Macaca fascicularis: one gene and its partners. The protein of the gene in region 5 interacts with the protein of the main gene of each other region in a biochemical or structural test. Links are inferred from orthologs where the notes say so. Each region holds a gene or a part of one and is shown on either strand. Other genes may lie near its edges. The genes, in order: TBP, TLE5, DPF2, GTF2B, RELA, PRKCZ and RXRA.

What was found.
Region 1: the proteins of RELA (region 5) and TBP form a complex in vitro, tested with the Homo sapiens proteins (2 studies listed by BioGRID). The link is inferred for Macaca fascicularis from reciprocal best matches to the Homo sapiens genes RELA and TBP.
Region 2: the proteins of RELA (region 5) and TLE5 form a complex in vitro, tested with the Homo sapiens proteins (2 studies listed by BioGRID). The link is inferred for Macaca fascicularis from reciprocal best matches to the Homo sapiens genes RELA and TLE5.
Region 3: the proteins of RELA (region 5) and DPF2 form a complex in vitro, tested with the Homo sapiens proteins (2 studies listed by BioGRID). The link is inferred for Macaca fascicularis from reciprocal best matches to the Homo sapiens genes RELA and DPF2.
Region 4: the proteins of RELA (region 5) and GTF2B form a complex in vitro, tested with the Homo sapiens proteins (2 studies listed by BioGRID and IntAct). The link is inferred for Macaca fascicularis from reciprocal best matches to the Homo sapiens genes RELA and GTF2B.
Region 6: of the proteins of RELA (region 5) and PRKCZ, one has a biochemical effect on the other in vitro, tested with the Homo sapiens proteins (2 studies listed by BioGRID). The link is inferred for Macaca fascicularis from reciprocal best matches to the Homo sapiens genes RELA and PRKCZ.
Region 7: the proteins of RELA (region 5) and RXRA form a complex in vitro, tested with the Homo sapiens proteins (2 studies listed by BioGRID). The link is inferred for Macaca fascicularis from reciprocal best matches to the Homo sapiens genes RELA and RXRA.

Annotation. Positions count from the first base shown.
Region 1 is NC_088378.1:506,202-509,701, forward strand, and holds part of TBP (TATA-box-binding protein), read right to left. Parts: intron 2,606-3,500; coding exon 2,202-2,605; intron 1-2,201. UniProt on the Homo sapiens protein: The TFIID basal transcription factor complex plays a major role in the initiation of RNA polymerase II (Pol II)-dependent transcription.
Region 2 is NC_088393.1:3,755,860-3,759,359, forward strand, and holds part of TLE5 (TLE family member 5), read right to left. Parts: intron 3,154-3,500; coding exon 3,109-3,153; intron 2,508-3,108; coding exon 2,445-2,507; intron 981-2,444; coding exon 906-980; intron 827-905; coding exon 605-826; 3' UTR 1-604. UniProt on the Homo sapiens protein: Transcriptional corepressor. Acts as a dominant repressor towards other family members. Inhibits NF-kappa-B-regulated gene expression. May be required for the initiation and maintenance of the differentiated state.
Region 3 is NC_088388.1:9,029,184-9,032,683, reverse strand, and holds part of DPF2 (zinc finger protein ubi-d4), read left to right. Parts: intron 1-982; coding exon 983-1,120; intron 1,121-1,245; coding exon 1,246-1,374; intron 1,375-1,562; coding exon 1,563-1,675; intron 1,676-3,500. UniProt on the Homo sapiens protein: Plays an active role in transcriptional regulation by binding modified histones H3 and H4. Is a negative regulator of myeloid differentiation of hematopoietic progenitor cells. Might also have a role in the development and maturation of lymphoid cells.
Region 4 is NC_088375.1:145,807,540-145,811,039, reverse strand, and holds part of GTF2B (transcription initiation factor IIB), read right to left. Parts: intron 2,353-3,500; coding exon 2,246-2,352; intron 1-2,245. UniProt on the Homo sapiens protein: General transcription factor that plays a role in transcription initiation by RNA polymerase II (Pol II). Involved in the pre-initiation complex (PIC) formation and Pol II recruitment at promoter DNA.
Region 5 is NC_088388.1:8,709,420-8,712,919, reverse strand, and holds part of RELA (transcription factor p65), read right to left. Parts: intron 3,380-3,500; coding exon 3,248-3,379; intron 2,421-3,247; coding exon 2,316-2,420; intron 2,100-2,315; coding exon 1,887-2,099; intron 1-1,886. UniProt on the Homo sapiens protein: NF-kappa-B is a pleiotropic transcription factor present in almost all cell types and is the endpoint of a series of signal transduction events that are initiated by a vast array of stimuli related to many biological processes such as inflammation, immunity, differentiation, cell growth, tumorigenesis and apoptosis.
Region 6 is NC_088375.1:232,633,381-232,636,880, reverse strand, and holds part of PRKCZ (protein kinase C zeta type), read left to right. Parts: intron 1-326; coding exon 327-379; intron 380-1,925; coding exon 1,926-2,114; intron 2,115-3,500. UniProt on the Homo sapiens protein: Calcium- and diacylglycerol-independent serine/threonine-protein kinase that functions in phosphatidylinositol 3-kinase (PI3K) pathway and mitogen-activated protein (MAP) kinase cascade, and is involved in NF-kappa-B activation, mitogenic signaling, cell proliferation, cell polarity, inflammatory response and maintenance of long-term potentiation (LTP).
Region 7 is NC_088389.1:5,036,650-5,040,901, reverse strand, and holds the start of RXRA (retinoic acid receptor RXR-alpha), read left to right. Parts: upstream 1-1,452; 5' UTR 1,453-1,629; coding exon 1,630-1,657; intron 1,658-4,252. UniProt on the Homo sapiens protein: Receptor for retinoic acid that acts as a transcription factor.

The DNA of each region.
Region 1 (3,500 bases), on a different chromosome or scaffold from region 5:
TTAGCAAAAAAAAAAAAAAAAAAGGCAAAACCCTGCTTTCTCTTCTAATTATCTCTCAGTAAATAAGGATAAACGGAGCCATCTGGGTCCACTGACCCTTTACATTTCTCAGTGTTCTTACATCACTTAATAAATAACTTATACAAGGATAAAGATATACTAAAAAGCAACTCTATTAGAAGTTTTAATAAAAATTTAAACAAAAACCTACATTTTCATTATACATTTTTTCTGCTTATGAAAGTATATATACTTGGCCAGGCACAGTGGCTCACGCCTGTAATCCCAGCACTTTGGGAGGCTGAGGTGGGCGGATCACGAGGTCAGGAGATCGAGACCATCCTGGCTAACACGGTGAAACCCCGTCTCTACTAAAAATACAAAAAAATTAGCCGAGCATGGTGGCGGGAGCCTGTAGTCCCAGCTGCTCAGGAGGCTGAGGCAGGAGAATGGCGTGAACCCAGGAGGTGGAGTTTGCAGTGAGCTGAGATCACACCACTGCACTCCAACCTGGGCGACAGAGCGAGACTCCGTCTTAAATAAATAAATAAATAAATAAATAAATAAAGTACATATACTTGAAATGGGCAATGTCCTTTGAATGCAATTAACTGCGCAACAAGTGTCTTGCATGGACCTGGCAATCACCATCCCAAGAATATAGAGTCCAGATTTCAAATACATAGGTTCAAATACAATAGGTTATAGCTCACTGTTGCTTCTGGTTCTTTTTCTTATACTGTCAAAATGCAAAACTTTTGAAAACTTGATGGCTCATAATTTTGTTCAAAAGAGAATGGCAGTCTATGATACACAACCGTAAAGCCAATTAGGTTGATCCACACAATGTTTTCATTTCCATATCATCTCTTTCCTTCCAATCACCGTTGTATACACACCTGGCTTTAGCATTTGTCCACTGATGAACTATATCAAGTAGATTTTAGTACATCTATCACAACTTTCATCACATAATTGTTAAATGTATTCTTATATGTTTTCATTCATGAAATATTTGCCTTAATCCCTCTTAAGCCTACAAGACTGAGAGGGCACTGAATTACCACGCAGGAGGGTTCTTAGTAGAGAGCAGCTCAGGGACGTGGATGACTGGATGCTCTCGGGAGTATCAGAACAACAAAGGCACGGCAAGAAACAAACACCTGACTGTACTGTTTATACTTTATTATTTAAATCAGAAATGCAAACTTAAATTTTCCTGGGAGTCCGACAAGCATGCTGGACACATGGGAGCGGTACAGACAAGGGTGAGCTAAAAAGGGCTGTCTCTAAAATCACTAAAATTACTTTGTTTTTAAAATTGTGTGTGGGGTCAAACAAAATTGTAGAGGCAAGATTTAGGTCTTTGGGTAAAAGTCAGCATCCACGATTACACACCACTAAGTTCCAAAAATGATCAGAGATAGCTTATAAACAACAACCATATATGTAGCAAGGTGAATAAATGCAAATAGGAAATACTAGATCTAAAGGGAGTATGAAGGAGGAAGGTATCTGTACAAGAAAACTGAGGAGATGCAGAGACTGCAAGTAACCTTTTAATTTGGTCATAAGCTTTCTAACATGAAAAGCTGCACGCTTCTTATTGACGGGGATTATTTGGAAATATTTGTTGTTTTTTCAGGAAGATGAAATTATTTCCTATCCCTAATACCCTGTTACATATAGAACCCACTTCACTTAGGTAGAAAAATCCATTTAGGACAAGAACAGTCATCCTCATTTTGTGGGAAGGACACAGACCTTCAAAGATTCATATGCAGTCCCCACAGTAAAAATAAAAAACAAGAACTGCCAGAAATTATACTGATACTGTGACTAAAGACCTAAAATAGCATAAGGGAAAGAGACTACATAACATTGTGATTTGGCGATATCAGATACAGGGAAATGTCTATAATATAATAATAATGACAGTGAAAATCACATTAAATTTTATTGGCTCAGGTATATAAACACAAATGACCACATTCCTAAACCTGTTAAGAACCTTTTACTGAGGGCACTGACTAAGATGGCTTTGCTTCCCTTTCCCAAGTGTGAGATAAAGCAAATTTTGATACACAATTGCTGTTAGTGCCATTCCCTCCCTTAATAAAAGGATCCATCAGAAAACAGAGCAGGAACACAACTCAAAGGGACTCCTAAGTGGGAGGAAACATAAAACACCAAGTACTCACTGCAGCTGCGGTACAATCCCAGAACTCTCCGAAGCCGGAGTGGCAGGAGTGATGGGGGTCATGGGGGTCACGGGGGAGGGATACAGTGGAGTGGTGCCCGGCAAGGGTGCAGTTGTGAGAGTCTGTGAGTGGAAGAGCTGTGGTGCCTGGCCTGAGGTTCCCTGTGTTGTCTGCTGGGATGTTGACTGCTGAACGGCTGCAGCGGCCACTGCCTGTTGCTGCTGCTGCTGCTGCTGCTGCTGTTGTTGCTGTTGTTGCTGCTGCTGCTGCTGTTGTTGCTGCTGCTGCCTTTGTTGCTCTTCCAAAATAGACAGACTATTGGTGTTCTGAATAGGCTGTGGGGTCAGTCCAGTGCCATAAGGCATCATTGGACTAAAGATAGGGATTCCGGGAGTCATGGCACCCTGTGGAAAGCAAGGAGAAAAACAGGTTAGGCTGGCTGCTGCTGAGTGTTTGTGGAAGTTTCTTGGTGGAACAGCAGGTGAGATGTGCAAAGACAGACGCCCTCTGAGAATAATGGGGTTATTAATCTTTAATTACGGAAGAACCAGCTATTCTTATACACATTGCTTTCTTCTTTAATACCACACAGTGGATAAACATGAAGAAAAATGGATAAACTGAACTTTGGAAAAATTAAAAACTTCTGTTCTCTGAAAGACACCATTGAGAAAATTAAAAGGCAGGCCACAGATTGGGAAAAAAATACCTATAATACATACATCTGAGAAAGGACTGGTAAACAGAATAATAAAGAGCTCTGACAACTCCATAAAAAAAGATCAACAAATAAAATAATGAAAAAGGACAAAAGATGTGAAGGGCATATTACAAATGAAGATACAGGCATACCTCAGAGATACTATGGGTTAGGTTCCAGACCATCTCAATGAAGCAAGCAGCATGAATTTTTTGGTTTCCCAGTGTCTACAAAAGTTATGTTTACACTATAGTCTATTAAGTGTGCAATAGCATTATGTCTAATAATATGTATATACCTTAATTTTAAAATGCTTTATTGCTAAAAATGCTAACAATCCTGTGAGCCTGCAGCAAGTCATAATCTTTTTGCTGATAGAGGATCTTGCCTCGATGCTGACAGCTGCTGACTGATCAGGGTGGTAGCTGTGGCCATTTCTTAAAATAAGACTGACGAAGTTTGCCACAAGGACTGACTCTTCCTTTCACTGAGATGTCTCTGTAGCACACGACGCTGTTTGACAGCGTTTTACCCACGCTAGAACGTAGTTCAAAACTGGAGTCAGTCCTCTCAAACGCTGCTGCTGCTTTCTCAACTAC
Region 2 (3,500 bases), on a different chromosome or scaffold from region 5:
CACAGCTAAGCTCGTCCCTCGTGCCCCCTCTTTTGTGGGCAATGGGAGAGGACCAGGTGGGCGTGGAGGCGTCTGGAACTAGCAGAGGTGGTGAGTGGGGCAGGAAGTGGAGGTGGGAGCAGACCTGGGACCCCGGGTCGGGGGAGACTCGGGGTGCCCAGGATGGGAAAGGGGCAGCTAGCATTGCGTGCATGCAGTACCAGGGTGAGAGCGCAGTGGCGTGTGCCCCGAGGGGCCCGGGCAGACTGTCAGTTACACGTGTTCAAAACAGGGGAATGGCCAGGGGTTCTGGGCTTCTCGAGGTCTTGCTCCCTTGGGACCTGGTCTCCCATCTGACCCTCCAGGCCTCAGCTTGCCTCACATGTCAGGGCAGGTATCCACCTATCCAGGCTGCAGGGGAGGAGGAGGGAGGCCGGGACTGGGGTAGGAAGAAAGCTAGAGGTGGCCTGCAAGTCGGACTGGGGCCTCCGCAGGCAGCCGCCATAAATACTATGGGAGTTTAGCCAATCCCGAGCTCCACTGTGTCTTGTGCTAAACATTCTTTCTCTCCGTGCCTCTGTCTCCCCTCTGTCCCCCCTCCCACCCTCCCCGTCCCGGCCCCCTGCTAATCCGACTTCTCGCCGTCATCCTCCTGGTGGGTGTCACCGTCGTGCCCGTTCTTGTCTTCCTTGGAGAGGTGGGCCTGGGAACCCAGCGCGGACAGCGAGAGCAGGCCGGTGCCTGCACTGACCGCCGGCAGCGAAGGCGGCTGCAGCCCCACAGGCAGTGGGGTCAAGGGCAGGGCCAGGGCCTGCAGCTGGGACAGCTGGTGGGCTTGGAGCTGCTGCTGCAGGACGGGGGAGGGGAACGTTAGCTGCCTAGGGCCCACCTGTCCCCCGCCCACCCGCCCAGGTCCCCATACGTACTCGGATGATAGAGTTCAACTCAGGAGCGGTGACCTGCTTGGCCCTCTCGATGGCTCCCAAGACCTGCTGCTGGTGCTGGAAGGGGGTGAGGAGAGAGGAGAGGCAGTGATTCCTCCTGATCCTGACTGAGAGAGGAGGCGGTGGCTACCCTGGGGCCAGGAGGAGCCCCGCTACCAAGGGGGCCATCATGTCTGCTCCTCCCAGTGGTTTTCAACCCCATCAGAAAGCGCCTTCCCTCTCTCCAACTGCTTCCTTTCACCAAGCTCGTCTCTTCATCTGGCCAATGGAGATAAATGGAAAAGTGCAGAAAACGATTAAAAGGGTTTTGTGCCAAGTAGTTAGAAAACGGCCTTTGAGTGAGTCTGGGAGAAACCCCGGATCCTGACCTATCCTATGTCCGCAGCCATGTACAAAGACGTGAAAGACGTGAATATTTGTGCAGTACACAACCTGCCCAACTGTACAGGGATGTCCTGATCCTAGGAGCTCCAAGACTGTGCCCTGAGTCCGGCCAAATTGAGCCCTTCTCCTACCATGGCTGGAGAGGGCCCAATGAATTCTGGCAGAGCCAGCTGGGGAATGGGCCTAGGTTCAGGGCAGTTCCTCCCCCAGCTCTCCCCAAACACCTGACTCTGTGGCCAGCAGATGCTAGAATCTATCAATCTCCCTTTTTGCTTTGGCCACCAGGAAGCCTCCGTTCTGAAGAGTTCCAATTGCCCTTTTCTCTAGGGCTTTCATTGGGTCCTTCTAGACTTGTCCCTGGGCAAAGCAGGGCACCCAAAGGATCCTGAGATACAGCGATTAAAGAGGAAATTACAAATTTTTGACAGTAAACTTGGCAGGGACAGGAGATGGGCCTTACATGGCCCTGGGGAGGGGCAGCCTTGCATCCTGAGCCTCAGAACCCAAGAAAGGAGAAGAGAAGCTGGGCATCAGGTTCCTCTGGGTGTGTGTGCATGTGGTAGTGTGTGCTCAGGATCACATGTGCTTACGTGTAGCTGCACATTCCTGCGTGTGTGGCCCTGTGCTGTCTGCACACGCCGTGTATCCGTGTGTGTCTGCGTCTGTGTGTGTATCTCCCGTATGTTGATGTGCTCATACCTATCTATGTGGCTGTGTCCATGGGGGACCGCCCTGTGCTACCCCATCCCCGCAACACACCCTCTAGTCTTTGGTTCTGTGCCACCCGCAGGGCCTGAAGGATGTTCTCAAGAGGGTGAAAGGAGGAAGAGATGAGAAAAAAACATTCCTGGTGCAGTTTTGGCCCATCCGACATTTCTACCTATGACATGACTCACTCTAGCTGGGAATTCCAGAGCAGGGTGAGGCCCGGCCCCCACACCCCTGTACCCCTGGAGTGTCTCTGGCCCAGGGATTCTTCTGCATAGGCCAGCTCTGGTGCCCAGAGCCGGGGAGGTCCAGAGAGGGGAGGCATGTGCCCTGGGGCACCCAGCACGCCCCCCAAGATGGTTGCAGCAGACAGGGGCTGGGCAAGGGGAGGGCCCCCTGGCACCCCCTCCCTGAGGCCCTGGCTCTTACCTCTTGGGAGAGGTAGGGCAGGACCTGGGCACAAATCCCGTTCAGCCTTTTGACAATCTCCGCCTGGAACACACAGATGAAGTCAGCGTCAGTCCTGGATGGGTGGCAGGTGCAGGCCAGCCCCAGGAGGCCCGCACGGGGCCCAGCCCAGCCCTGCCACTTGCGGCTTCTCTCTAAGAGGGGCTAGGTCTGGCCAGGGTGGGATGAGCAAACCCGTGTTCGGGCCCAAGGGCAGCCAGTCAGTGGCAAAGGTGGGGCTGGAGACCGGCTGTCGCCTGCAGCTTGGAGTGCAGTAAATGCAGGATGAGGCCAGACTGCACATTCCTCGGCTACATTCCTCAGGGCTGGGCCACTCAGGCCCCTGGCAGATAGTGAGCGCTCGTGGGAATGTAGGGAGGGCTGGGGGCCACAGGTTGTGGGGAAGGTCTCCGCCTCTCCCGCCACCCCCAGAAAACACTCCAAGGGAGGCCTGAGAAAGAGGCGGTGGGGAGGAGAGTGGGAGCTTGGGAAGGGCTTAGGAGGTAACAGGATAACAGGGCTGGCTGGGTGCCCAGCCAAAGGCCGGCTGCTACCTGCCTGGGGGTGCCCAAGGGGGTGCTGGAGGCGGGGGGCAGAGGGGGAGGAGGGGGAAAGGAGAAGGAGGAGGAGGAGGAGATGGGCGTACCTGTTTGTGCATCTCGATGTTCAAACCGTAGGACATCTCATAGTACTGTATGGGGGAGAGAGAGAGGGAGCGGGAGATGAGGGCAGGGAAGGATGGGGGGGCATGGAGACAAAGAGATAAGGGAGTGGTAGAGACAGACAAAGGGGGGAGAGAGCAAGAGACAGCTGAGGGCAGGAAAGAAACGAGGCAGGTGGGAGGGAAAGAGCAGGAGGGAGAGACGCCCACACCCAGCGTCCCAGCCAGCCCGGGAGAGGGGCAAGGGGCCTGCTGGGGCTGCGGATGGAGACTGGAAGCACTTTAGGTCCCTAGCCCTGGCCTGGCTCCTCCCCCACTCCGTGTGCACCGCGAGAACACGCATTCCAGGGCTCCTAATCTTGTATCTTTCTATGATC
Region 3 (3,500 bases), about 320 kb from region 5:
TTCCTCCTGCCTTTCTCATTTCCTGGGATGCTAGCTTTAAAATCTCTGGAATGGCATGGGGGTAGGAGCAGTGGAACTTCTGCTGTGCTCTACTCCTCAAAGTCCTGGAGGCTGCCTTTACCACTGCTTGTCTCCCACAAACCTACTCCTAGAGCTGCTCAGCCCAGTGCATGGGGTGGCTTCAGAAGCATTATCAGGAGCCCATTACAATCAGACCCTTCCGCTCCCTCCCCAGATCAGGCACCTGGTGGTCAGCTCATGTTCCCCACTGCCCCACCACCTCCTGCCATCCTCTCTCCCCATTCCTTTCCTGCTGGCCCCCTTGCCCTTCTTGGTATTACCTGTCAAGATGACAGAATGCCTCGTGGGGATCTGCTTTCCTTGCTGATTGGCAGGCCTGGACAGGGCAATTATGTGGGAGTGTGTTTGAATTTCTCTGGGGACAACTGCCCAACTGGCTTCATTGATAGGATATCCCCAAGAAACCCACCCCTGCTTGTTTACGCACATTCAGAGGAGATGGGCTCCATGGTCTGTGTGGGGTAGCTGAGCCTCCCACGTTTACTGATGGGTAAAAACGTTTGGAGTTGTATCCGCTTTTCCCCCTTCCTGCCACACCAAAGACTTATAGGAATATCCTTCCCTTTCCTGACCTGGAGCGTCCCAGACTGTTACTATATCCCAGAGCAACTAACTAGTGATGGGGCGAGGGCTAAGCCCCCAAAAGTCAACATGGAAGAGCAGTGGTGGCCATGGGGTTGGAGTTTAGGAGGTAAAAGAGTCCCAGAAGCTAGAGAGCCCCAGGGCTTGATGCTCGTGGCTGAGGGAAAGGGGCCATCACTTAAGGCCTGTCCCAGAGTAGAGCTGCTAGGGGAAGGGATGGTTGCCCTCTGCCTCAGGTGGAGCCCCCACAGTTTGCAGGGGTGGGGACATGTTACTCTTGTATCCTAACACCTTTCTCTGCAATCTTCTCCCCACTCAGTTTGTGGAAAACGTTACAAGAACCGACCAGGCCTCAGTTACCACTATGCCCACTCCCACTTGGCTGAGGAGGAGGGCGAGGACAAGGAAGACTCCCAGCCACCCACTCCTGTTTCCCAGAGGTCTGAGGAGCAGAAATGTAAGCTGAGGTGTCAGAAGTGGTGGGCAAGCAGAAGTTGGCCTGGTTATGAAAACCACTCCTTGCATGGGTGTTGAGTGGCTCAGGGACCCCATGGGCGTCATCAAAAGTCTTTCTCTCTGCAGCCAAAAAGGGTCCTGATGGATTGGCCTTGCCCAACAACTACTGTGACTTCTGCCTGGGGGACTCAAAGATTAACAAGAAGACGGGACAACCCGAGGAGCTGGTGTCCTGTTCTGACTGTGGCCGCTCAGGTACTGCCTCCCGTGAAGGCTGCTGCTGTGCCCAGTCCCCAAGGGGCTCTTGGCTTGCTGGCCTCTAGTGCTGTCATAACCAGCCCACCTCACTTTACCTAACCAAGAGAAGATGTAGCCACAAGCAGGAGCTCCTCTCTTCCCCCTGCATTTCCAACTGTCTGTCTCTCTCACTTCCCCCACTATAGGGCATCCATCTTGCCTCCAGTTTACCCCCGTGATGATGGCGGCAGTGAAGACGTACCGCTGGCAGTGCATCGAGTGCAAATGTTGCAACATCTGCGGCACCTCTGAGAATGACGTGTGTATCCCCGCCCCCTCCTCAGCATGGCTCCTTCTGGGCTTTTACTGCTGTTTGCACAGTTCCCTCTAAAGTGAGCTTTCTTTTTTTAAAAAGGGAGCAAGATCCCTCCTACATGCCACATGCCCCTCCCTAGCATCTCAGTCAGAACTCTGATTTGTTGCCAGATAATATATATATTGAGTGCTGATTTTATGTCAGACACTGTTCTAGGCACTAAAGATACTAAAGACAAACAAGGTCCCTGCCGCATGAGATTTACATTCTTACAGGAACAACAATAAGCAAGGATGTGAGATTTGTATAATGTGCCATGAAAAAAATGAAACCAGTAATGTGGCAGAGAATAATTGCATAAGTGATTTATTTTGATGGTGAGGTTTGGCTCTTCTGGGAGGGGGATGCTGGTGTTGAAATTTTGTGATACCAAGGAGCCAGTCAAGCAGATTTGGAGGTAGAGCAGTCCCAGGAAAGGAGCAGCCAGTGCCAAGGCCTTATAGTGGACAAGCCAAATGATAGGGCATGGGAGAGGATGGCGGGGGATGAGATGAGAGAGGCAAGCACTGCCAGATCTGTGGGGCCTTGGATTTTATTCTAGGTACAATAGGACACTGTCAAAGGGTTTTAATCAGGGAAGTGACATGGTTATTTATGTATGTATTTATTTATTTTATTTATTTTTTTGAGACGGAGTCTTGCTGTGTCGCCCAGGCTGGAGTACAGTGGCACGATCTCGGCTCACTGCAACCTCTGCCTTCCAGGTTCAAGCGATTCTCCTGCCTCAGCCTCCCAAGTAGCTGGGATTACAGACACGTGCCACCACATCTGACTAATTTTGTATTTTTAGTAGAGATGGGGTTTCTCCATGTTGGCCAGGCTGGTATCGAACTCCTGACGTCCGGTGATCCGCCTGCCTCAGCCTCCCAAAGTGCTGGGATTATAGGTGTCAACCACCGCGCCCGGCTGTTTATTTATTCTTTATGTATTTATTTTTTTATTTTGAGACAGAGTCTCTCTGTCACCCAGGCTGGAGTGCAGCGATGCAATCTTAGCTGACTACCACCTCTCCCTTTAGGCTCAAGCAATCCAATCCTTCCACCTCAGCCTCCCAGGTAGCTGGGACCACAGATGCACACCACCATGCCTGGCTTCTTTTTTTTATATTTTTGATAGAGACAGGGTCTTGCCATATTGCTGAGCTGGTCTCAAACTCCTGAGCTCAAGCAATCCTCCCACCTTGGCCTCTCAAAGTGCTGGGATTACAGGCGTGAACCCACCATGTTTGGCATTGTCTTATATTTTATTTTATATTTATTTATTTATTTCAAGATGGAGTTTTACTGTTGTCACCCAGGCTGGAATGCAGTGACACAATCTTGGCTCACTGCAACCTCTGCCTCCAGGTTCAAGCAATTCTCCTGTCTCAGCCTCTCAAGTAGCTGGGATTACAGGCGCTCGCCACCACGCCTGGCTAATTTTTAGTAGAGACCGGGTTTCACCATGTTGGCCAAGCTCGTCTCGAACTCCTGACCTCAGGTGATCTACCTGCCTCAGCCTCCCAAGATGGTGGTATTACAGGCGTGAGCCACCGCGCTTGGCCCTTGTCTTATATTTTTAAAAGAAGACTTTGGCTGCTGTGTGGAGGGTAGACTGTAGGGACAAGGATGGAGGCTTATGCATATAATCCTAACACTTGAGAGGCTGAAGCGGGAGGATCACTTGAGCCCAGGAATTCAGAACCAGCCTGAGCAACATAGGGAGACCCTGTCTCCACAAAAAAAATTAAAACTTAGTGAGGTGTGGTGGCACACATGTTAACCCCAGC
Region 4 (3,500 bases), on a different chromosome or scaffold from region 5:
TTTCAGACCTCAAGATTTAACATGGTGTTTGATATGAATAAATCAATAAAAGCAAAAACAAAATTAACTTCCTTTGGTTTGATACAGCAGAAAAGTACAAGCAAAAATTAGGAATTCCAAGCACAAGAAAGCAGCCTACAAGTCCTGTGAATTGTATCTTCCTTTTCTGGCTGATTAATCTCAACTGTCTTTCTGGTTAAAGCGGAAGTGAGGCTGGTGGGAAGGCTGAAAATATAATGGGATACTTTTTTTTTTTTTTTTTTTTTTTTTTTTTGAGACAGAGTCTCGCTCTGTCGCCCGGGCTGGAGTGCAGTGCCCGGATCTCAGCTCACTGCAAGCTCCGCCTCCCGGGTTCACGCCATTCTCCTGCCTCAGCCTCCCGAGTAGTTGGGACTACAGGCGCCCACCACCGCGCCCGGCTAATTTTTTGTATTTTTTAGTAGAGACGGGGTTTCACCATGTTAACCAGGATGGTCTCCATCTCCTGACCTCGTGATCCGCCCGTCTCAGCCTCCCAAAGTGCTGGGATTACAGGCTTGAGCCACCGCGCCCGGCCTACCCCGTCTCTACTAAAAAAAAAAGAAATACAAAATTTGCTGGGCACGGTGGCACATGCCTGTAATCCCAGCTACTTGGGAGGCTGAGGCAGGAGAATCACTTGAACCCGGGAGGCAGAGGTTGTGGTGAACCAAGATTGCACCATTGCACTCCAGCCTCGGCAACAAGAACAAAACTCCATCTCAAAAAACAAACGAAGAAAAACTTTATAGATACTGAAATTTGTATTTTCACATGTCCCAAAATAATGATTTTTTTCAACCATTTAAAAATGTAAAAGCCATATTAGCAAATAGGCCATATAAAGACAGGTGATGGGTTGTACTTTGATGACCCCAGATTAAAATTTTATTATTATGAAAGGCAATACAAGATAGAAATCTGCCTCCCATGCAGACAATGGAGTCAATCTTTTAGACTACCTAAACATCAGTTTCCTCATCTGTAAAGTGAAGATAATGTTAGTACTCACCTCACAAGTTTGTTGTGAGGATAAACTGAGTGAGTATGCAAATCATTTAGAATAGTACCTAGTATATAGTAAATGTATTGGCTATTCCTTACTCAGCGGCATACAGTAGCAAATGATTCTCAATCCCTATTAGCAACTCTATACTTTAAAACTCCCACTGTAGGTCTGAGGCAAACAGCCTTCTTGGACCAAGTAAGACAATTCCACAGTATGCCACTACTAATGCTTCTGTTATACTGCCCACAATCCTTCTAGAGTTTTCATTCTTAAGTAATTCAAACTGCTAACTATTACCCCGATTCTCAGATGCTGCAACGCCACCACAAGAATAGTTTTTGAACAGACTATCTGCAGTCTAAAGTTCTGCTGCATATCTAAATTAGTGCGCAGGTAGGAACAAGGTGAAATTTTAAGTGGTATTTTTGACAGTAATTTTATACTAGACATTCATCAATAAATGATTCCATATAAAAGTTATAATAAATCTTTTTTTTTTTGGACTAAAAGGCTTTCGGTGAGACTCAAAAATCATGTTTATCTACTTCTCAACATATAAAAAAGTCACAAAAGTTTGATTATTTAATATGCATGAGTGTCAGCCCATCTCCCCAGTCCTCCACCAAGTATTTCAGACGAAGGACTTAGGAAATTACTGTGGCCTTTTCATTTCTTCTGGATTAGCTCCCACCCGACATTATAAAAACATAAATTTGGATATACAATAAAATATGTTTCTAAACAACTTTACTCATTTCTGTTTCCTAATTCTTTTTTTTTTTTGGCAATAAATTATTTGTTGGGGAAGAAAGTCAAAATGTGTTCATTAAATGACAGTTTGGAAACTATGCAAAAGTGAAGAACTCTAAACAAGTTTTTTTGTTTTTTTTTTTTTTTGAGAAGGAGTCTCGCTCTGTTGCCCCAGCTGGCGTGCAATGCAATCTCGGCTCACTGCAACCTCTGCCTCCCGGGTTCAAGCCATTCTCTTGCCTCAGCCTCCCGAGTAGTTGGGATTACAGGCACCCACCATCATGCCCAGCTAGTTTTTGTATTTTCAGTAGAGATGTGGTTTCTCCATGTTGGTCAGGCTGGTCTCAAACTCCTGACCTCAGGTGATCCTCCCGCCTCGGCCTCCCAAAGTGCTGGAATTACAGGCATGAGCCGCGGTGCTTGGCCTCCTAAACAGTAATTTAAATTAAAACCATAATAACAACTCACCTACAACCAAGCCACATTCAGGACAGATCATATCACCGGCTCTGTAGTCCTCCACTAAAATCGCATCTGGATGGTTTGGACATGTGACTCTTGGAAGAGCATCCAAACTAAAAGAAAAAAGTTGTATTTTTACATCTTCCCAATCAACATGTATCACAGTAATCTCCTGAGACGCGGGATGGGGAAGACAAAGATTGTAAACATTCTTCAATACATACGATTATAACACGTGTGAGCTAGATTTTCAAAGTAAACATCCCAGTTAGGTTACTTTAAATTCTAGCTAGTAACTGGCAAGTAGTTTCCACTGGAATTCTTATTTTACTGTGGAAGGCTTTCAAAACATAAATAGAAAATAATTAGTTTCTTCTCTTAATATGTAGTCTACTAAGATTTTTTTAAATGCTGATTAGTGTTGTAATGACTAGCTACCATAATAACCTGCAGCATTTACATTACCATCCAGTTTGTGCTCTTTGCCACTTATTTGTCTAGTCAGAGAACAATTTCTCTCTGTATTTTTCTACTTGTTAACTACTTTAGTAACAGATTTAAATAGTACACTGAACCCAGTAAGTATAGAAATGAGGGATGGTAGAAGTTGCTCTGCTGAACTTAAGACTTGATGATTTCCTTTAGTCCAGAATTGAGTTACTGAATTTTTTATCATTCAAGGAATTGTTTCAAAAGCTACTTGTAAATTTATCTGTGATATTAATAATTAGCTCAATTTATCTTATTTTGAACAACAAAGCAGTTTGCAGAAGACACGTTCATCTTTTTTTTACACATTAATCATAAATGATCTGACAGAATCAGCTGTAAAAGCAACAAATATTTGATCATTATTTCAGGGGGTATGACCTCCCAATCATAAATGCTTGGTAGCACTGCAAATAAGGCCCTTTTAAAAATCGTTTGAAATAATACAATAAATGGTTAGGTTATGGACATCAGATGCACGTAAAAGACAAAAATCAACTGTTCTTATAGTATGTAAATAGTTATTTGTGGTTTGGGGTAAAGTTTCTCATGTTAGCAAATACCATTCAGAAGGTTAACTCTCAACTTAGATGATGATATCTACAGGAAAACTGATAAAATAATCCCTATTCCCCTCCAAATTTATCTACTCAGCTTAACCAGAACATGTCTTGAATCTTCTCGTTGGGAAAACGCAGGGGTAAGTATTACTTCATATTTGTGATTACTCCATAAATTCCTCTAAGGAAAGTATTTTAATATATTAAGACAA
Region 5 (3,500 bases):
AGCTTTCAGAACTGTCTTTCTTTTTTTTTTTTTTTTTTTTTTTTTGAGACGGAGTCTCGCTCTGTCGCCCAGGCTGGAGTGCAGTGGCCGGATCTCCGCTCACTGCAAGCTCCGCCTCCCGGGTTCACGCCATTCTCCCGCCTCAGCCTCCCGAGTAGCTGGGACTACAGGCGCCCGCCACCTCGCCCGGCTAGTTTTTTGTACTTCTTTTTAGTAGAGATGGGGTTTCACCGTGTTAGCCAGGATGGTCTCGATCTCCTGACCTCGTGATCCGCCCGTCTCGGCCTCCCAAAGTGCTGGGATTACAGGCGTGAGCCACCGCGCCCGGCCCAGAACTGTCTTTCTAATTACAATGGTACTTCAGTAGCTCCAAAGCACCTCAATTCCATTAATTCAAAGACAACCTCATCATCCCTCAAAAACTGGATTCTTTCTCTTGTATTTCCTGACCATCCATCTGCCATCTGCCCTGTCACCCAAGCTAGAAACCTTGGAATGATTACCTTCTTTTCTCTCACTCCCCACCACTAACTTGACACATATTTATCAAGCACCTACTATGTGCCAGCCTCCCTTCTAGACACTGGGGATGTGGCCATAAGCACACAAGGTGTCTGCTCCCAAAAAGTTGGCATCCTAGTGAAAAAGTGAGAGGGACACAACCATATATACAAACCAGAAAATCTCAAGTGACAGTGGTTCAGGGAAGATACGGTGATGGAACAATACCGGAAGTGAGGTCGGGGCAGTCTAAATTTAGAGGGAAGGACTGGCATAAGCCACCTGCATTAAAACCTTGGGCCAGGCATTCCAAGCAGAGGCAATAGGTAGACACAGGTCCTGAGGTGAGACTGAGCTTGGTCTGTAAGATGCAAAATGGCTGCAGGGCTGAAGGGTAACTGAGGACAGTGGCGGAGATGTGATCTTGCTTCGCTATTCCTTCTACGAGGTTTGTGCCGCATCTTCTTTTCCTGGACTACAGCAACATCTTCCAGAATGGCCTCCCCGCTTTGAGTCTGTTCGTCTCTGATCTTCTACATGTGGCCTCCTGAGTCAACTTCCAAATCTGCTCCTGTCACTTCTCTGCTTAGAGGCCTTCAGCTTAACCACGCCCTCCTCTCTCTGAGCCTGCTCACTGCCCAACATCGGCTCAAACCACGAAGATGCCCCCGAACAGGCCGTGCAGTTGCCAACACCCCTTCCCTTCCAGGTGCTTGGCCACCTGCCTAGAGAACACACTTCCGTGTCTTTCTCCAGCTTCAACGCCACCTTCTCCATGCAGCTGTCTCCAGCTCCCCGGAGGCCACCGTGCCCCCGTGCTGCTCTGCACACACCTCTGTTTCACGTGTCATTCTGTGACTTAAGGATCTGTTTTGCATATTTGTCTTCCTCAAGTGACTGAGATTCTGAGGGCAGGGAGCCTGTCTTACTCATTTTTTGTATTCACAATACCTGGCACAGGCCCTGGTACCAAGTAGACATTCAAACCTTGACCAAAATGTGGCTGAGCTCTATGGTAGTGACAAGACAACCAGTGTGGCAAAAGGACCTTGAAGCCAGATGGCCTGGGTTCCAATGCTGACTCTGCTACTTACTAGCCACGTGAACCCAAGCAAGTCAGACACTATCTCCTACTTCAAAAGGGTCATGACATTAGAATCAGGTGATCCAGTGAAATGCCTGGAATAGGGCAGATGTGTAGTACTAGCTCAACGTCTGAGGTATCCTTATCATTAAATGTGGCAAGAAATGGATTCCAATTACCATATAAATCCCAAGCTCTGACTCCAGCTTCTGGCCCTCAACTACAGCCCCAGACATGCGGTCTTGGCCTCTCTCTCATGGCAGAGCCCAGCTGCCCTGATGCTGCCATCCCAGCTGTGTACCTGTATCTGGCAGGTACTGGAATTCCATGGGCTCACTGAGCTCCCGGTCGGAAGGCCGCCGCAGCTGCATGGAGACACGCACGGGAGCCTGCAGGCTGGGGTCTGCGTAGGGAGGGGTCCGGAACACAATGGCCACTTGTCGGTGCACATCAGCTTGTGAAAAGGAGCCTCGGGCCTCCCAGCCTGGTCCCGTGAAATACACCTCAATGTCCTCTGCAGGAGATGGGGTGGCAGTGTGGGTCAGTGTGTCTAACCCTCCACGGTCTCCCCCTCAACTTCGGATGCTTGTCTTCTAATATCACCCTTCGGCCCACCTGAGGCCCCTGAGGCATAGGAGGAAGTATCCAAAGCCAGTTGCCTGCCACGCCCCGTCTCTGCTCAGCTTCACCCCTTGCTCCCAAGAGCCCACCCCTGCCTCCTGATGTATACCTTTCTGCACCTTGTCACACAGTAGGAAGATCTCATCCCCACCGAGGCAGCTGCCAGAGTTTCGGTTCACTCGGCAGATCTTGAGTTCGGCAGTGTTGGGGGCACCTGAGGCAGTGAGAACAAGGAAGGATGACCTGAGCCACCAGAGGTCCCCGGGGTGGCCTGCAGGAGATGCAACTTCCCTGCCTAGCCCCAAGTCAAGGTTGCCCAGAGCTTGCCACCTACACCTTTGCAGCCACAGTCAGACCTTCTTATTAGCTCCTCACCCCAACCAATTCAGCAAGTATTTGCCTACTGATCTAAGCAAGGAGAATACAACCACATACAAAACCTAAACCTCTGCTCTCACGGAGCTTATAGTCCAGTGAGTGCCAATCTGATCACACTGTGTCTCCACCTGACCAAAGCAATCTTTAAGGTCAGTCCATACCCACCTTGGCAATGAGCCCTTCCCTCCTGACTCCCAGTTTATCCTGGTTTCCCATCTTTGGGGTTCCAGAGTCGTTTTATTTCCATTCATCCTGCTGGTTACTTAATTAAAGACTGCAGCTGATCAGTCAGCCCAATTCGTCTGCGGGCTTCTGTCACTGAAGCATCATTCTCGAACACTATCTTATTCCTGGGAGTTCGTTTCCTAGAGTCATTATCGCAGTTGTGGGCACACCACCTTCTCATCACACGATACTGAAAATGCCCATTTCCCATCAGACTCCCTGCTAGACTCCCTGCCAGGCCGGAGCTACACCTCAAGGACAGCTCTGGGTCTTCTTTGCCTTCTCTCCCCAGCCAACAAAGAGCTGGGCACAGAAGAGAAGATGAATACACAAGATGACTGATGAATCAGAGCACCTCTTGCAGGCCACACTCACCCCAACCCCTTCCTCCTATCCAGGCCCACCCTCTCCCCTTCCTGTGTCTCCCTCGCTACTCACGGTTGTCAAAGATGGGATGAGAAAGGACAGGCGGCAGGCGGAGGGGCCTGCCTGATGGATCCCGCACTGTCACCTGGAAGCAGAGCCGCACAGCATTCAGGTCGTAGTCCCCACGCTGTTCTTCTATAGGAACTGGCAAGAAAACAGGTGATCAGGAGAGCAGGGGAAGTGGGGATATAGGTGTGACCAGTTGGGGCAGGGAGCTCTGCTCTGGGAGGGCCGCTGGCGAGTGTGTAAAACACAAGTCCTAGAG
Region 6 (3,500 bases), on a different chromosome or scaffold from region 5:
ATCCTCCATCCCTTCACTAGACATCCCCTCCTGCCCCACCCACCCATTCACTAGACACCAAAATCTGATGACTAATTATTTGCAGATGGACCCCTGGGGGCGTGTGTCACAAATGTACATCCCCAGGTCCCATGGTCAGAGTCGGCAGGTCTGAGTGGGGCCCAGGAAGCTGCATTTTCAAAAGACTCTAAAATAGAATCAGACATGGCTGCTGTGTAGAGTTGCCCTTCACCGTCGCCTGGTGGAGGAGCAGGGCCCACGGGGTCGCTGTGTTCCCAGCGCGTTCCTGACGACACCGTAACGCCTCTTCCTCCCTCTCTCGCCAGTTGCTTACATTTCCTCATCCCGGAAACATGACAGCATTAAAGACGACTCTGAGGTGAGTCTGCGGAGCAGCTCGCTACCTTTCCAGCGTCCTCTTGGAAGTCTGTGAGCCTGCCTCTGGGGCAGTCACATAAATCTGGATGTGAAATATACGGTCCGGGATGTTGCTAATCTTTACGGGTGTGGGTGTCTAGAAAGAAGCCCTTGTTCTTGGGTCTTATTTCAGGCACATCCTTGGTGATTCCCTGGAGGCAGCTGTCCCAGCGGGTGGTCTGGGGACCACACCCTGGGGGGAAGCCGCGCCCCACATCCTCTCCACCCAGGCAGTACAGTGGCCCAGGGGCTGGCTTTTGAGCTGTAATTTTTATCAAGTTGTGTCTGCACCACGGCCTTCCTTTCGTTGCCTCGTTTGGCCGTCCTGGCAAACCCCTCTAATGCCTTTTCACGTCCTTCCCCAACTCAAGCGAAGAGGCTCAACTGAGCCTCGCGTCTGTGGCCAGCTCTGCACCACAAACCCTGAGAAGGGAACAGAAGAGCTTGCTGTGTTCTCAGCCTCTGCTCGTAAAACCCAAGAAAGGGCTGCGCTGGCAAAGCCCACACCTTTCCAGAGCAGCGGCACATACCACCCTCACAACTCGTGCTCCTTCCTGGCCGTCCTGTGTCTGGAGGGAGGCTGGGTCACTTAGAAAGCAGAATCCAAAGCCGGGCACGGTGGCTCACACCTCCAATCCCAGCATTTTGGGAGGCTGGGCCGGGCAGATCACTTGAGTCCAGAAGCTTGAGAACAGCCTGGGCAGCGTAGTGAAACCCTATTCCTGCAAAAATAAATACAAAATAATTAGCTGGGCATGGTGGCATGGGCCTGTGGTCCCAGCTGCTTGGGAGGCTGAGGTGGGAGGATCGCCTGAGCTTGGGAGGTGGAGGCTGCAGTGAGCCGAGATTGCGCCACTGCACTCCAGCCTGGGTGGCAGAGGAAGACCCTGTCTCAAAAAAAGCAGAATCCATTCTGCTGCACAGAACAGCACCTCCTAGCGAACTACCTCCTCCACCCCGACATCCTTGCCTGGTGTAGCTTGCAGGAGGCCGAGGCTTCTCTTTTTCCTCGGAGCGCCTTTCTTCTGTATATTTCTAATAATTATTTCTAATAATGTGTGCTTGCCGGTTTGGGAGCTCTTGGCAGGCATTAGCTACGTTTGCTTTACCTTCCTTCCCCGAGGGAGGGCCCTGATGGGGAAGGATGGGCCCAGGCCCTGGGCCGCATGTCCCAGTGGCCACCTCTTCAGCCCGACTGGTAGGGCTGAAGGCCTGGGGGTCCCTCCCACTGGCAGCTGTGACCAGAGCCATGGTCTGTGGAAACGAGCAGCTTCCGACTTTCTAGCACCTTCCTCAGAAGCACAGCCTGAAGTTCTCACCTTTTGTGCCCCGGTTTAGATGGGAGTGTGGGGGTGGGATCTGTGGGACGCAGAGCTGAGACTGGGATCGTGAGGCTCTAGGCTCTGAGGAGCAGATCTCTGTTGGGACCGCATGAGTGATGCGTGGTCCTCTGAATCTCCCGGGACCCCTCTCCCCTCACTTTCTGGGGTCTTGTTCTCCCTTCCTAGGACCTTAAGCCAGTTATCGATGGGATGGATGGAATCAAAATCTCTCAGGGGCTCGGGCTGCAGGACTTCGACCTAATCAGAGTCATAGGGCGCGGGAGCTACGCCAAGGTTCTCCTGGTGCGGTTGAAGAAGAATGACCAAATTTACGCCATGAAAGTGGTGAAGAAAGAGCTGGTGCATGACGACGAGGTAGGTGCCACTTCTCACGGCGCTCGGGGTCCCGGGAACGCACCGCCCTGGGGCCGCCACCTGGGGAAGAGGGCATTAGAAGGCCATAATGAATGCTCCAGGCTTTAGCAAAATTAATCCAGGCATGAGAGTCCTGGCCTCGTATTGATGGAGTTTGCGCAAAATCAATAGTGATGCGTCGCGTAACAACCGGGACGTGTTCTGGAAAGTGCCTGGTCAGGTGATGGCACCGTTGTGTGAATGTCACAACGCGTGCTCCACAAACCCAAACGGCGCAGCCAACTCCGCGGCCAGGATGCACAGTGCAGCTCCTGCTCTCAGGCTGCCGGCCCGCACGGCTGTCCGTGCACTGCACACCGCAGGCAGTGAGCGGACCACCGCAGAGAGCACTCGTGTCTAAGCTTTGAAAAGGTGAAGATGGGTATCGTCTCCGCGACCTTCGCGTGTGTGGCCAACCACTGATACGTCGCCTTCCAGCAGACTGCGGTTGAGCTTGAGGACGTCGTCACCCTTGTTAGGAAATCCCTGGGGTTGAGCTGAACCGGGCGGGTGATGGGGTAGGACAGGAAGCTGCCCAGAGGCACTGCCTCACTCCGTCCTGCACAAGGCCCCAGCTTTGAGGGACGTGCTGAACTGCCGCGGCTCTGTGTAGCAGATCTTCCCACACCAGCTGTTTCTGGGGGAGAAGTTTATTGATTATAGGATCAATGGTTTATTTGTTGAAATCTTTTTTTTTTTGGAAATAGGTTCTTAAACAGGGTCTTACTCTGTCACCCAGGCTGGAGTGACTTGATCACAGCCCATGTAGCCTCAAACTCCCCAGCTCAGGTGATCCTCCCACTTCAGCCTCCAGAGTGTTGGGACTACAGGCATGAGCCACCACCCCCAGCTGTATAATTTTGTATTTTCTGTAGAGGCAGTGTCTCACTCTGTCACCCAGGCTGGAGTGCAGAGCATGATCACAGCTCACCTCCTGCAGCCTCCACCTCCTCCTGCAGCCTCCACCTCTTGCTGGGCTGAGGTGATCTTCCCACTTCAGCCTCCAGAGGAGCCAGGGCTACAGGCGTGCACCACCATGCCCGGCTATTTTTTGTGTTTTTTGTAGAGACGGGGTTCAACTATGTTGCCCAGGCTGGTTTCGAATTCCTGCACTCATGCACTCTGCCCCACTCAGCCTGCTGGAGTGCTGGGATTACAGGCATGAGTCACTGCTCTTGGCCTATTTGTTGAAATCTTGATTCTGACTTCATACACCTTTTTGTTTTAATTATAGTAAAATACACATGGCATAGAATTTGACATTTTAAAATGTACAGTTAGGGCCAGGCATGGTGGCTCACACCTATAATCCCAGCACTTTGGGAGGCCAAGACGGGTGGATTACCT
Region 7 (4,252 bases), on a different chromosome or scaffold from region 5:
GGGCTACCTTGGCCTCTGGCTGTGCTGGGGGTGGACTGCCCAACCAGGGCACTCCTGTCCCAAGTGGAACCAAGACCTCCCACCGGGACAGGCCACCAGACCCCTTGTGGAATCCAGCTCCAGGTGGCCTGACTTGAGGGGCACCCAGGCAGCAGGACACCTCTCTGGTCTTGGGCTGTTATCTCTGGGCGGTGTCATGCCTGTCCATACGCGGTCATCACCTCCTCACCTACCTCCCCATTAGCGTCCCCTGACCCTGGCCACCACGTGTAGCCTGCGTGACTGGTCAGCCCCTGTGCCTCGCAGCCCGGGCCCTTAGGTCTAAGCGGGCAGCAAGCTCGCGGTGGGGGCGCGGAGCGTGGGCGCGGCCGGGCGCCTCGGCGCCTGCTCAGGAAGGCTGGGCTTGGCGGCGCGCAGGTACCTCACACCCAAACCCGAATTCCAGCCGCCTGAGACGGCGGGCAGCGCGCGGCGCGGAGGAGGCCCCAGCTGTCCCGGGGCAGGAGTGCTTCCTTTCGTTTTCAAACAAATCTGGAATTTAAAAGTCAGGCAGAGAACTACCCGGGGTATAAAAATAGCCACCGGCCACAAAGTCTATGTCCAACTCCGGGCAGCGCCTGCCCAGCCTGGTGCCTTTGAAGAGGGGTCCAGGAGTGCGGGTTGATGAGGCGGCGAAGCGCGCGCCCCTCCTCGTTCCGGGTGGGCTCATGGGTCTCTCCGTGGGGGCAGGGCGTGAAAGTGGGGGATGGACCGGGGGGAGCGTCCGGAAGACGAAACCTTCCCCGGACGAGGAGCTCGTCCTCTGGCGTTGGGGCTCATCGCCACTCCCGGGCCTCAGTTTCCCCACGTGTCCGCAGCGGCGGGGTGCGAGGTACGGGTGCCGCGGCCGTCCCGCCCCACTCTGCGCCTGCCGGGCCCGGGCCAGGGTCCCCGCGCGGCCACCGCCCGGCCGCTTTGTGTGGCCGCGCAGACAATGGCCCGGCCGCTGGGCTCCCGGCCCGGCTCTCCGCCTCCTCCGGGCCCTGTGCGTGCGAGTGTGTGTGTGCGCGCGAGTGTGTGGCGGGCTCGGGGAGGGAGTTCTGCTCCCGCCCCCGCCCCCGCCCCGCTCCCTCCGCGCCCCGCCCCCTCCCACGCCGCCTCCTCGCGGCTCCCGGGAACCCCTGGCGGAGGCGAACTCGCAAGTTTGCAGGGCGCTCGCAACTCGGCGGCCAGGCGGGCGGCGATCGCGGGGCGGCGGCGGCGGCGGTGGCCGAGGGGGCGCGCTCCGGGCGGGGCCGGGAGGGCGGGGCGCGGGCCGAGCGGTGGCGGCGGCGCTGCGCCGAGTCCGCGCCCGTCGCGGGCCCCCCGCCACCCCCCCGCCGGCGCCGCAGCGCCGCGGTCGGAGCGGGGCGCGGGCGCGCGGCGGCGGGGGCGCGGGCCGGGCGCGCGCGGCGGCGGCGCGCAGACACAAGTAGTTTACATTGTTGGGCGACTTTTGCAACAACTCGCCGCGCCGCGGCCTCCGCGCGCCGCCGCCGCCACCGCCGCCGCCGGCTCCCCGCCGCCCGGGCCCGGGCCGGCCGCGCCGGGGGCCGCCGCGCCCGCCGCCCGCTGCCTGCGCCGCCGGCCGGGCATGAGTTAGTCGCAGACATGGACACCAAACATTTCCTGCCGCTCGGTGAGTGCTCGCCGGGCCGGGCGGGGACGGGGCCAGGGGCCGGCGGGCGGGGGCCGGGGGCGCGTTGGCGGCGCGCGCGGGGGTCGCCGGCCCGGGCCGCGCTTGGACCCCTCGCCAACCTTCGCGAGAGTTCGGGCGCCGGGCCCGGAGGGGGTCGACCCGGGGCAACTTTTCGCGGGGCCCGGGCGGGGCTGGGCAGCGGGCGGGCGGCGGGGCCGAGGGGGCGGGTGGCAGGTTCGCCCGGGACGAGGAGGGGTCTCCCGGCCACCGGCGGCAGCCTGCGCCCTGGCGCCCAGCTGCAGCCGGGCCGCGCAGGAACCCGGCCGGAGCGGGAGGAGCAACTTCTGCGCTCCGCGGCTCCGGCCTCCCTGGCCTGGGGACCGGGACGGCGCGCTGGGCCCCGAGCGGCCTCTGCGCCGCCTGCCCGTCGGGCTGCGGCTTCCAGCAGGCCGCTGGCCCTTGGGTGTGTGTCCGCCCAGGAAACAGACTGGGACCCTGTTATCCCCAAAGCAGCCCACGCCCGGGTGGGCAGGGTCCCCCGGGAGCTGTATGAACAGAACGTCAGACCTAGGAAGACCCCATCCCAGAAATGGGGCCCCTCACTCTGGCAGTCCCGGGTGTTCTCCTCGGTTGGCTCTCCATTTGTGAGCAGGACAGCGCAGAGGGTCAGTTTCCCTCCTCCTGCCATCCCGCCCGGTGGCTTCCTATCCCAGACTGCCCGCCAACTCCAGGCCCAGACCTGCCGAGGAGGAGGAGAGGGCACGACTGGGGCTCCCACCCATTGCCCTCCCAAGGGTTTGGAAGCTAGTGAGAAGGGGGAGACTTTATAAATGAGCTCCGGGAAGGATATTAATTTGGTGGTGGGACGGCAGCCAGGCTGTCAGGCCGGGTGAAGGATTTGTGCTGAATGGAAATTGAAACAGCTGATTATGAATGAAACCCCGCCATTCTTAGCCCCTCCTGCCCACCCTCCCTACAGCCTGGGGTGCAGCTTGGCCACCCCAGGAGGTGCTCAGAGGCCAGTGTAGCTGCAGGGATGTTTAGTGAAATGGGACATCAAGGGGAGCCAGCATGGACCCAGCCCCTCCTGGATATGAAGGTGAGAGTCTGAGTACCCCTACTACTCACAGGCAGGTGTGCTGCTCCGTGACTGGGGCGGGGTGGGGGGTGGGTTCCAGGTTTGTCAGACCTGACACTTACTCCCTGACTCTATCATGATGGAGTGGTGGGCTTGAGACCTTGAATGAGCTCCAGGGCTCAGCCTCCAGGGGTGGGCGCTCATGCCCATTTTGCAGATGAGAAAACTGGCAGGGAGAGGCTGAGCCCCCAGGATACAAAGTGGTGGATTTGGGATTAGCACCCGCAGCTGGTGGTACTGCTGAGTGTGAGGCAGGAGGGAACGCTGCGCTGTCTGTGACTGAGTGCACTGTGGGGCAGGGGGGGCTGCCTTTCCTCGTTAAAGCTTTGCACTCACACATCTGCACACACACATCCACACGTACAGAGCTACGCTCTCCCAGACGATTCCTCTGGAACAAGAATGCTCAGCTCAGTGTCTGGCCCCCGGACGTGGCAGGGGCCTGGCTGGTTGCACTTCAGCTGAGTACTGAGAACCGAACAGGTCCCTGTTTTTAATGCCCTGGGTGGGACAGGGATAGTCCACGGAGTTGGTGTATGTAGGGTGAGGGAGCAAGGGTGCCCAGTCCCCATGGTGGCTTGCTGGAGTCCCTGTGAAGAGGAGAGGTCGTGCCTCTGAGCCACTGCCCCAGGGATCTCCCTGGGCACTCCCCTGCCACAAGGAAGCTGGGAGTCTTCTGTTCTCCAGCTCTCCCGACCAGCCCGTGGCCTCCCAGGCAGCCCACGCCCCAGGGCTGAGCAGAGAGTCCTGGGCTCTGATTACATTTTATTTTTTTTCTAAGCTTGTGACCAGCTCTGAAGTCCAGAGCAGTCGAAGGTCCATTTAAGCGGTTACTTGTCTAAGCCCTTTTGTCAACACAGCCTAATCCCTCCTGGGGGTGAGTGGCGGGCGGAGGGCCTGGCTTGTCTTGGCCCGGCTGGCCGACCAGTCAGACCTGGAGCTGCTGGGGGAGACTCGGCCACCCCTTGCAGCTGCCCGGCCACTTTTGGGGTCTGGAGTAGAGAGGGCTTCTTCCTCCCTGCATTCACTGCTGCTGGGCTTGGTGGGCCGGGGGAGGATCCCGGTCAGTGCCCACCGAGCCACTCAGTGAGGGCAGGGATGAGTCCAGCATCCAGATCTGGAAGGAAAGCAAGGCCGAGGGACTCGCCAGAGGCAGCCCCAGCTTCCTGGCCCTGCTGCCCAGGGCTGGCCGTGCTCCTACGCCTGCCGGGGAGAAGGCCCTGGCTGGCCTTATCCTGAATGGTGGGACTCAGGCGGAGTCCACGGAGTCCAAAGGTCTCAGACCGCACCAGACCCCATGTGCCTGTGGAGAGACCCGCCGGCAAAGCTGTAGGCCCACTGACCACTCTTGGAGTCAGGGCACTCAGGGACCTGGGTGAGCTTGCAGCCTGGGTGAGGGGCTTCTGGTAACATCAGAGCCCTTGGGACCCAAAATAGAGCACATTCCGGGGCCTCCC